Yarrowia lipolytica: one gene and its partner. The protein of the gene in region 1 interacts with the protein of each later gene in a pairwise test. Links are inferred from orthologs where the notes say so. Each region holds a gene or a part of one and is shown on either strand. Other genes may lie near its edges.

Region 1 (7,312 bases):
GCGTTGATCAAGGACATTGACAGGATGTGATTTAGGAGCAACCAGCATCGAAAGACTTGGCCACTGGTGTAGAAACAAATCGACAAATTGACAAGCAGGACGAACAAGACGAATTTCGACTATTGAAGATACTCCACCATATGTACAGTATGTATATAGACATGTTGCTGTTTTGGATCTTGCAATGAGGTTAGAATGGAATATAGAGCTCATAGACCAAAGTGGAGTTGATAGAAATGACAAAAACCTCTGATATATCTGGAATCCCAACTTTTCCTGTTTACCTGAGTCCCATCAATGCTCCTTTCAAGTGCCGTGTCAATCCGGGCATCGTACGTTGAACCTGACAGGTGCTAGAGATGGTACGAGCAGCCTTACTGGAGAAGAGAACTGCCGGTCAATCTACCTACATGAGCCCAAAGGGAACACGTGAACTTTTCTGTCTGTCAAAATACTTTCCAAGACAGTCATGTAACCCGCAACATCTCTGGTCTGTGTGGACCTTCTTGGACTTCCCTCGCTCCTGCCTGATACTGAACGGAAACAACTAAGACCAAGCAAACGATTTCTACCTGACCCCATTCGCCCCTCGATGGTCATATCTACATCCAATCTCGGTACTTGTAACAATAACATTAAGGGTATGGTGATATGTAAAAGGCGCTTCCCGCCGTGTCGTGCGAGGTCTAGTTGTCGCGGTAAAACTTTCTGAAAATGAAATGAAGCAGCAAGTTGGTGTTCATCTTGACCATGTCGTCAAACAGGTTGACCAGCTGCTGGTTGTTGTACTGCTGTGACAGCAGATCGTCGAGAGTCAGAGTGGTGGTGGCTCCAGGAAGAGCAATGCCGCCGTAGGCAGCCTCCACTGTAAAAACTCCAACCTCGTCGGACGAAAAGGTGAACATGACCTTGTCCTGGGCCTTGTCCTGGTATCCGTTGAGCTCCACAAGAATTCCCTTCTGCATCAGAGCCTGAGCAGAGTAGACAAAAGAGCCAAACTTGGGCACCTTGCCAGACTTTTGCAGCTCTCTCTGATGGAAGTACTGCTTGGTAAAGGGCAGAACAAGACCCTTTCGCTTGCCCTTCTTGGTCTGAAGAGTCGCCATGGCCTGCTCGATGTAGTCATTGTAGTTCTTGAGCTGCAACTGCAGGTAGGCTTCCTTCTCCGACAGGCCCTGGAGAGTTAGAGCAATAGAATCCAGCTCCGCATGTCGAGCAAGACGTCGGTTCTTCTTCGTCTTGATATCCTGCGCAATGGAGTTGACAATCTCCTGGTAGTTGTTGGCTCGGGAAATCTTCCCAAGAGTCTCCAGCTCAATCACCTTCTCCAGAGACAGCAGCTTGAGGTCTCTGTAGGTCATCTGGGAGAACTGGTGCTCCGAGGGCGAGTTACAGAGTCGGTGGAGCGACCGCGACGACTGCGACGAAGATGTGCTCTTGGTCATCTGCTCTTCAGATTCCCGCTTTCGTCTCTCAATAGCCTCCTCGGTCAGAATGGCTCTGTATTTGTCCTCATGAGACTGGTTGACAGGAGCCAGCAGAATATCCAGAAGAGAGGCACCGGTCTGGACTCGAATCACGTACAACAGGTACCGTTTCGTTTCGACCAGCATGGTATTGTAGGCCGATTCAGAGTCGTCTCCCTTGGCGAAAATGGGGTTCAGATCCAGCTTGACTTCGGTGAATCGAGCCATGTTGAGCACCTCGGTAGCTGAAGACGGCAGAGCTCCCATATCGGTGACCACCTCTCGAAGAGGATCCTTGGCATCAGGAGCCACGGTCTCGATTTCTCTGCAGATGAGATTGTGAATGACAAAAATGTCGTTGGTTCGCAGGAACAAAGTAGGACGCTTGGTGGCCGTCACATCGTCAGTCGTGGAAGTCTCATAGTACTGCTCCGGGTCACAGACGTCAACAACAAGTTTGAGCATGGCCCGAACTCGAGGCTGGGTCTGCTTGATGTAATCGTTGAGAGGCTGGAGGTAGACGTTCTCCCGTGAGAAAAGCCGAAGAGACGCAATCTGGGCCAGCATCTTGGCCACCTCGCCGAGGTTTCGTCGCTGAGCAGGTCCAATGGCAGACTCACACACTCCATAGTCGTCAGGAGCAACAATGGGAGGAATGACAAACAGAGAGACAAGAACGACTCCAATCACGGCCAGGTGGCGATCCTCAGACTCGTGGGGGAACGTCTTCTGCACAGATCGGTAACACTCTCGGGCAACGTATCGCACATGGTAGGGCAGTTGAAGAACAGATGATTCGATGGTATGCAAAAACTCGGAGGTGAGCTCTCGAAGACGCTGCAGGTTGGCAATGAACGTCTGTCGAGTCTCGGGGTCCTGGATAGCCTCATCTACAGGTAGGTTGGGGTCACGTGCAGAAGTTCGGCCACTGGCTAGCTCCTCCTGGTTGATCAAAGATCGGTAGATGGCAATGGGGTCGCTCTCGAGGTCCAGCATGTGCTGGTCAACAACGGTGCTTACGTGAGGGCCGAGAAGAGACTTGAGCAGCTTCTTGGGAGCAGCTCCTCGGTTGAGTGCCGCAAACAGACGCTGCCACATGTGCTTGTCTCGGACCATGTTCTTGGACGCGTCCAACGTGGAAATGTGAGCTGCCGCCGATCGCGAAATCAGCTTCAACAGAAAAAACTCTTCTCGGCGTCTCTGAGCATGTGCAAAAATGTTCATGGTCAGCGTCTCCACGTTCTTCATGTCCTTTTCTGGAGTGGAGGAGATTCGACCAAACAACCGGGTCAAGTAAGTTGGCCGTGTCTGAAGAAGGTAAAAGAAACCCTGGTAGAGCTCAAGACGGTGCCTTGAGGTTTTGTTGAGTGCCTTGAGGTTGAAAACGTCGCCATTGTCAATCTGAGGAACCGCAACACCCTTATTTCGAGTTCGAATGAGCTCATCCAAGGTGATCTTGTTCTTCACAAGCAGTGCAATCTTAACGTCCAGGTTCTGAATGAACTGCTCCAGCTGCTCATTCTTATGTACCTCGTCGGACACCTGCTTTCGCTGCTTCTCTAAAGTCACTTCCTCCTCGAAATCAAAGTCAGAGTCGTTTAGAAGATGCACAAACTTCTTGACAGTCGACAGAGGAGGGTCTGGAGAAGAAACCAGCGACTTGTAGGCATCTCCCTGGGTTCGGGCTCGCAAGTACGACTGGATCTTGATCACCTTGTCCATGTTTCGGTGGAAATGAGCCATTCGATCATTGTGTTTGGTTCGAACAAGTGCTGCTCGACATGCGGCCTGCAGCATAATGATACTGGGCTCCTCGTCAAGGAACTCTTCGATCATGAGAGAGTAATCGAAACGGGCAAGAACACCCCAAATGACCGTCTGCAGCTTGGTGACGGAAGAAGAAGCTCTATCCAGCCGCTCATGGAACCGAGCAAGCTGGTTTCGAACAATTCCAGCACGTACCGCGCTCTGGAGAGTCAGAACAGCTCCATGTTGACCGTTCAACACAGCCATCTTCTCGTTGATTACGTTTCGGACCAATCCTCCTCGAGCAGCGCACTGCAGCTCGCAAACGTCCTCAGAGATAGCTCTCAAAGCAGCCCTCTTGGCACCGACCTCCTGTCTCACCATCCATCCTCTGATCAACGACTGCAATTCAATCACTCCAGAAGACATGTCCAGCATGTGATTGGAGGTGGAAATGGTGGAAGACCGGACTTGAGAGCCTCTAATGACGCTCTGGAGGGTTGTGATTGCATGGGACTCGGATTGTAGAGCTCGAGCGATGTTGTCAAGCTCCTCTCGAACCGAATTTCCTCTGGAAATCGCCTGAAGCTCAGAAATAGCGTCACAACAGTTGCCCAACTCAGCCTTGGTCTTCAAAATAGCTCTTCTGACAACAGAACCTCGAATGATAGATTGAAGAGTGGTCACGTCGCCCAAATCACGTGACGACGTCTGTCGAACGACGCCTGCACGCACCTTGTTGCCCCTAGCAACAGACTGAAGGGTGACAATCTGAGACTCGGCAAAGGAGAGTCGATCGAGTGTCTTTTGGAACTGCTTTCTCGACAAATAACCTCTCAGAAGAGCCTGGACCTTAGTGACGTCGGAGGAAGATCTTGAGACCGCTCCCTGTTGAACCACAAAGGTTTGTCGGGGTCCCAGAGCTCTGATCAGAGATTGGAGAGCAATAATGGACTGTTCAGCCTCCTTGAGCTGTCTTTTGGTATCGTTGAACTCCCTTCTGGCGAGGTAACCAAAGCACAGAGACTGTAGTTCCTCAATATTGTCGTTGGCCTCGCACAATTCTCGGACCATGATTTCCTCCTCGCTCTCCTCGGGTTCCACGTGCTCCGGCTCGGGAGTCTGTTCCTCCATGCCGAGCTCCTTGTTCATGGACGAGAAATTGGGCATGCGGACACCGAGATTGTCGAGGCCACGTTGTGTTCGGGCGAGCTCTTCGTCTGAGAACTCCAGCTTACCCACGAGGTTGCTCATGGGAGGAGCCACACCCTCGACGTAGAGGGCGTAGGCAATGGCGTGAATTGTGTAGATGACTCGAGGGATGTTCTTTTTCTCGTAGAGATCGGTGAGTTCGAAAGTGAAGAGATCGGGCATGCCGAGCTCGGAAACCAGGGCGAAAAAGTAGTTGATGTTTTCCGAGTGTCGAAATTGAAGGCCGGGTCCCTCGTAGATTCGTTTGACAAGGTGTGGAGCGACAGCCTGGGTCACTTTGGCGAGCGCAATACCGTTACGAAGGTAGTCTTCGAGTTGGACAACGGGAGGAAGAGTCATCTGGGTGACTTCTTCAATCCATCTGAGTTAGTACAAGTTCCACGGGAGTGGTGATGTTAGGAAGGTCAGAAGTAACAGAAGGAACAGACAGATTGGAATTGTTATCAGGTGGATTTGGGGCACTGGAGGGGCAAAAACGGTGTGGTTTATCCATGTCTCTGTCGATTGACATCAAATATACGTCCACCTGTAAGGGATCTAGCCACGAGCGACTGGTTCACTGTCACTCCATCAGATGCGCTCAAATTCGCTCCCCCCTCCAAACCCACTCCACCATCCCACTTACTTCAGTCACATTCGCTTCGCTCATGCGACTTGGACTTTGCCCATAACTCACTCTTTGCACGCCCCCACATAGCACAAATACTCATAGGCAGCCAGGTTTTTTCGCTGCATGTCCATCCAGTTGTGTTTCTCGTCCTCCAGCTTCATCAACCGTACCCGGCCCTGCAGACCAATCACGTCTTCCTGGTCCACCGTCACGCCCGGCAGACGCAGGTTTTCAATGTCGTTGTTGGCGAGGTTGCGGAAATGGCTGGTCGACGACGACTTTAGAATCTTTTGGTTCCTCAGCGTGCCCGAGTTGATTCGGGCGTTGGACCGCGGTCGTAGCGGTTGTGGAGGCGCCTCGGCCCCCCCCAGCGTCTCCAAGTAGCGGCTTGCCACTCCCTTTTTGACCATGGCTGAGATGTGTACTGAATTGGCTAATTAACGCGGTCGTCGAGCGGGTGGTAGTTGTGTCGGTTCCGTAGATGGAGATGTTGCAAACCTTGACCGCTTGTTTTTTGGTAAACATGCACCTCTCCTATTATCACAACCTACTTTCCCGAAACGGCAACGTCCAAACAGACTGTAGCGAGGGCAATAAAGTTGCACCCCAAATGAAGATAATAATAACAACCGTGCATGGTCACGAGAACCAGGACGTAAATAGCGAGCGAGGCTGGGTGGTCACGTGACGGAGAAGACGAGAATCCGGGTGTTTGTAGGTATCTCCGGGTGTCTCCGGGTGTCTCCGGGTGTCTCTGGGTGTCTCTGGGTGTCTCCGGGTGTCTCCGGGTGTTTCACTCTCTTCCGTTGATCTTGATCTTGACCATCTCCTCTGTAGATCGAGATGAGCGTGAATTTTGGCTCTGCGACGGGGCTCAAAAGAGCTCGGATATCGCTCGATATCAACCTTGTCGGTCGTCGGATTTCGGACATGTTGCGGTGTTTCTTTGGCACGTTTTGGTTGGTTTCGGACGTGTTTCTTTGGCGCGTTGTTGGAGCCTCTTGTTAGGCATTAAACAGAGCCATAGATATATCTATTAAAAATTCTCTGATTAAATTATAATTTTTTATTTTGAAAAATAAACATGATCACAGCAAAGTTCCCAAAACCTGTTTTGAGTGGCTAATAAGCCCATTACTGGTGGAACTGACTGTATATATACAAGTAGATACTCTGAGACGGATGATTCTCTACCCTTTGTCCACCGTCAATCCCACAATTTGGGAGCTTGTTTTTTTATGTTTTGTTGATAATTTGTGAATTCTTGGTTAATGTTTTGTTAATGTTTTGTTGATAATTTGTTAATAATTTGCTGATAATTTGCTAACAATTTGTTAATAATGTTAATTTGTTGATAATTTGTTAATTTTTGCTATTAATTCGTTAATAATTTGTCAATAATTTGTTAATACTTGGTTAATGATTTGTTAATAATTTGCTATTAATTCGTTAATACTTTGTCAATAATTTGTTAATACTCTGCTGATACGATTTCTATTTTAATTCGGTTTACTAAAGACCCAAAACACAACATAAATAGTCCAAAATGGACAACGCCCGCTGACCAAACCCCCCAGAAATATTTCTGTTCCTCCTCCATTCACGTCGTAAAGTTCATGCATCAAAATCACAACCTCCTATTTTCAGTTTGACTTGATCATCACCACTACACACAAGATCACCACACGGCACCCAATACACTACACGCCATGCCACCCCCAGAAAAGCTCCATTTGACGGCCCAAGACGCGCGATATCTCCGAGACGAGTTTTCCTCGGCCGTGGACCAGAAAACGTCGCTGCATTTGCCCGGAAACGACCCCACCGACCCGCTCATCCTGCGCGTAAAACAACTTGTGTCGGAGTTCGTCACAGAAACCATGCAACTGTCGCGACACGCGTTGGTCGTGGACGGCGCGGAGATGGGACGGGTGAACTCCATCGACGCGCATCTGCGTGAGTCCACCGAGCACATTGAGCCGTTTGACATGGGTTTAGCTGAGGAGCTGAGACGGGTGTACGCCGAGGTTGACGAGACAACTGTGCGGTTGAGCGAGATGCGCAAGAATGTTCCCAAGGTCATTTCTGAACTATACAAACAGGCTGAAGTCAACTGCGCCGACATTGGCCAACCTACTGAGGAAGGAGTGACATTGGAAGCGGTGCTGGAGGAACTGCCTCCTGTCGAAGAGCTCAATGAGGAGGACAGAGAGACGCTGAGGCAGTCATTGCTGGAAATTAAGCGCCTGAGAGGAGCTGTTCCAGAAACCCATACGAG
Region 2 (3,113 bases), on another chromosome or scaffold:
TATACTAACATCACAAAGCCATTCAGCTACACTCCTGGATACCATGGACTCATTTCTTATCTGAAAGGCCGTTTCAACAAACAGCAGCTCGTCCAGATGACTAAGTATATGGCTGAATACAGACCCTCTTTTATTGCCTGTACCAACTCGCTGAAAGAGGAGGACCTGGTGTTCATGGAACAATGCTTCCAGCGAGCCCTCCTAGAGTATCAAAAGTTTATTTCGTTTTCTGGAACCCCCACTCTTGTCTGGAGACGTACTGGTCAACTAGCTGCTGTTGGAAAAGAGTTCTGTCAGCTCTCGGGTTGGTCTGAACAGCGTCTCATTGGTCAGCAGACCTTCATCGTAGAGCTGCTGGACGACAATTCTGTCCTCGAGTACTTTGAGCTCTTTTCTCGAATCGCTTTTGGAGACTCAAGAGGAGCTACTATGGCCGACTGTACACTACTTACACCGACCGGTGCTAAAATCAAAACATCCAGTATCTGGACCCTAAAACGGGATGTCTTTGGCAACCCCATGATGATTGTTGGCAACTTCCTGCCCATCTTGAGTTGATATTCCAACGAGATACTTCGGCAACAGGTTGCTTAATTTATATATATAAGCTATTTATTTCACTGTTATGATCTATGTAAAACAATACGACACTTTCAAAGACATTGTCACCAGTACAAGTAGCTACGGATGGGAATCGCTCAAACATAAAAAATATATTAGGTATCTACTGGGCCAGAATGGACTTGACGAAGTCAACGTAGTTGACGTTGCCGTCTCGAGTAACGTTGACTCCCTTAAGGAGCTCATCAACCTCGGAATCAGACATCTTCTCGCCCAGCGAGGTAAGGATGTATCGCATCTCGCCGACACCCACGAACCCAGTGGAGTCCTTGTCGAACACCTGGAATCCCCGGATGTAATCCTCGGGCTCACCGAGAGACTTGAAACCGCTTGGTCGGTTGACGATCTTGGAGAAGGTCTCGTAGTCGACTGTGTTAGTGCTGATGGAGGGGGTGGATTTATGCTGGTAGAGGTGTGAAAGAGCGAATCTAGGCATACCCCATCTCCCCTGTCGTCATAGAGACTTATGTGATCGCTTCGAGGTTACCGTTTAACGACCTTAATGAAGGAATCAATCACCGGAACATCCCTTGACGGGCAAGTTTCTGTCACGAGAGATCCAAACACGTTGTGATCACGATATAAGTGATACGGGTTCCTCGAATCTATACCCCAACACGTTGAAACCGCCCAATTTATCGCAGTTGCATTTCGCTGGACCGTGACATGTTTCGGTTCATCGTCTCACACACCACACCGTGTTCCATTATCGGCCCATCACCTAGATGCTTGAAAATATCTGTAGTATACTCACACTCAGCGGGAATGGTCTGCTTCAGATCATCAATCTCAGCGAGGGTGGGGTTCTGGCCCACAGCTCTGAGAAGATCACCGAGAGCTTCAGCAGGAATCTTGCCGGTGCCCTTCTTGTCGAACAGGGAAAAGGCGTCCTTGAAAGATTTGGAGTTTTGCGACTTTGTTAGTGGTGCCATGATGATTTGAAAGAGTGCAACAAGTCTCTCATTTCTGAACTCACCATTTGTAATATTTTTGTGTGTAGTTTGTGTTGATGCGTTCTGTCCCGTCTCCTATTCCCAATGTACACAAACATAAACAAACCGCAAATAAACTTGACCTAACCCTAAGATTCAAGCTTTGGACACGTGAGTGCGTGTGTCTATCGTGTTACTGAACCCTTCGTAGAGTGAGTCCTATAGAGAGATTTGAAAATGTACATTGGTATTCAGACGCTGTCACGAGTGGTTGCCTCCATTATTCGGGTTGAATCCACCATCAAACACGAGTTGTATTTTTAGCGCGGATCTCTTGTCGCCATGGAGACTGGCCTGCACAGCCGAGAGCATGAATTTTTACCATTTATTACCGGTAGCTACCCTTTACTGTAGGCAGGGGTGTGTCGTTATGGTGCTGTAGGTTCATGGGCTGTGAAGAGATAATACAATTGGGAATAGGTCTCAGCAAATGACATCTTGATACGAATCCCGTAAAACAGCCTAATGATAAAAAATAGGAGTCAAGGGGTGAACTCACCAAGACTGTAGCTTCAATCATTCTCGGCCCTGTTAGCCCCTTTTCTTGATCAACTGACTGATCTGTGTACTTGTACGATACTTGGGCTGTACATAATCACGTTAATTAGACAGGCTACTGTACGATACAAGAGACACAGCCGATGTATGTGAGAGGCGCTGTATATAATAACGGTCTCTCTTTCCAGCGATGGTCTGTGAGATGTCAGTCAGTCACATGGTGCCGTCCTAATTTTTCGTTTTTGAGTAGCTCATTATCTTGCCGGATTCAGTCATCTTGTCTGCTACAATACAAAAGCACATTCGTAAAATTACTACAAGTACAAGTAGTAGATCCCCTTCTCAATTTCGTGAGCAGGTCTATAAGCGCATTCATGCATAATCGCACCTTAATTATTTTTTTTTCTCCTCCGTGAACACTAAATGGAGGACCACAGCAACAAGTGCACTATAACGTCTGCAATCACCGATCTGCCACCATGTGCCATCCAGATTCAACCTGATGATGCATCTATCATCTTTGTGGCCACTTACAAGCTGGAGGACGACCGAAGTCGAAATGGTACGGTCGATGTCTACAAGCTTGAAGACGACCAGCTGAAACTGCAGCAGAGCTGCCGAACAAACTCATCAATCTTGGACCTCAAGATTAGCCCCTTCGACCACTCTTTCATCTGCACCAGTCAAAGTACCGGAAACATCATCACATGGAGGTGGGACGGTTCTGAGCTGACTCAGCAGAAGTCCTACCAGCTCTTTGATGAGTCGCTGCTTGTGCTCTCTATCACGTTCAGTCCCACTTTCAATGATCTCATGGTAGCCACTCTAACTTCCGGTGAGGTTGTTCTCATTCGTATCTCAGACTCCGAGCTCAAGATCGACCGCTCGCTGCATGAGCACTCTTTGGAAGCTTGGATTTCGTCTTTTGGAGGAGACGAGTTCCCCAACTTGGTCATGTCTGGTGGAGACGATGCTGCCCTCATGATTTCGGATCTTCGGACA

Evidence for each region.
Region 2: the proteins of YALI1_B06028g (region 1) and YALI1_E04033g interact in a two-hybrid assay, tested with the Schizosaccharomyces pombe proteins (2 studies listed by BioGRID). The link is inferred for Yarrowia lipolytica from reciprocal best matches to the Schizosaccharomyces pombe genes rng2 and cdc4.

Annotation. Positions count from the first base shown.
Region 1 is NC_090771.1:600,943-608,254, reverse strand, and holds YALI1_B06028g (uncharacterized protein), read right to left. Parts: upstream 5,445-7,312; coding exon 5,101-5,444; intron 4,786-5,100; coding exon 687-4,785; downstream 1-686. Other genes in the region: YALI1_B06015g (uncharacterized protein), read left to right, coding at 6,744-7,312. UniProt on the Schizosaccharomyces pombe protein: Component of the contractile F-actin ring; required for its construction following assembly of F-actin at the division site.
Region 2 is NC_090774.1:401,795-404,907, reverse strand, and holds YALI1_E04033g (uncharacterized protein), read right to left. Parts: upstream 1,554-3,113; coding exon 1,376-1,553; intron 991-1,375; coding exon 725-990; downstream 1-724. Other genes in the region: YALI1_E04060g (uncharacterized protein), read left to right, coding at 1-558; YALI1_E04023g (uncharacterized protein), read left to right, coding at 2,535-3,113. UniProt on the Schizosaccharomyces pombe protein: Involved in cytokinesis. Required for the formation and function of the contractile ring.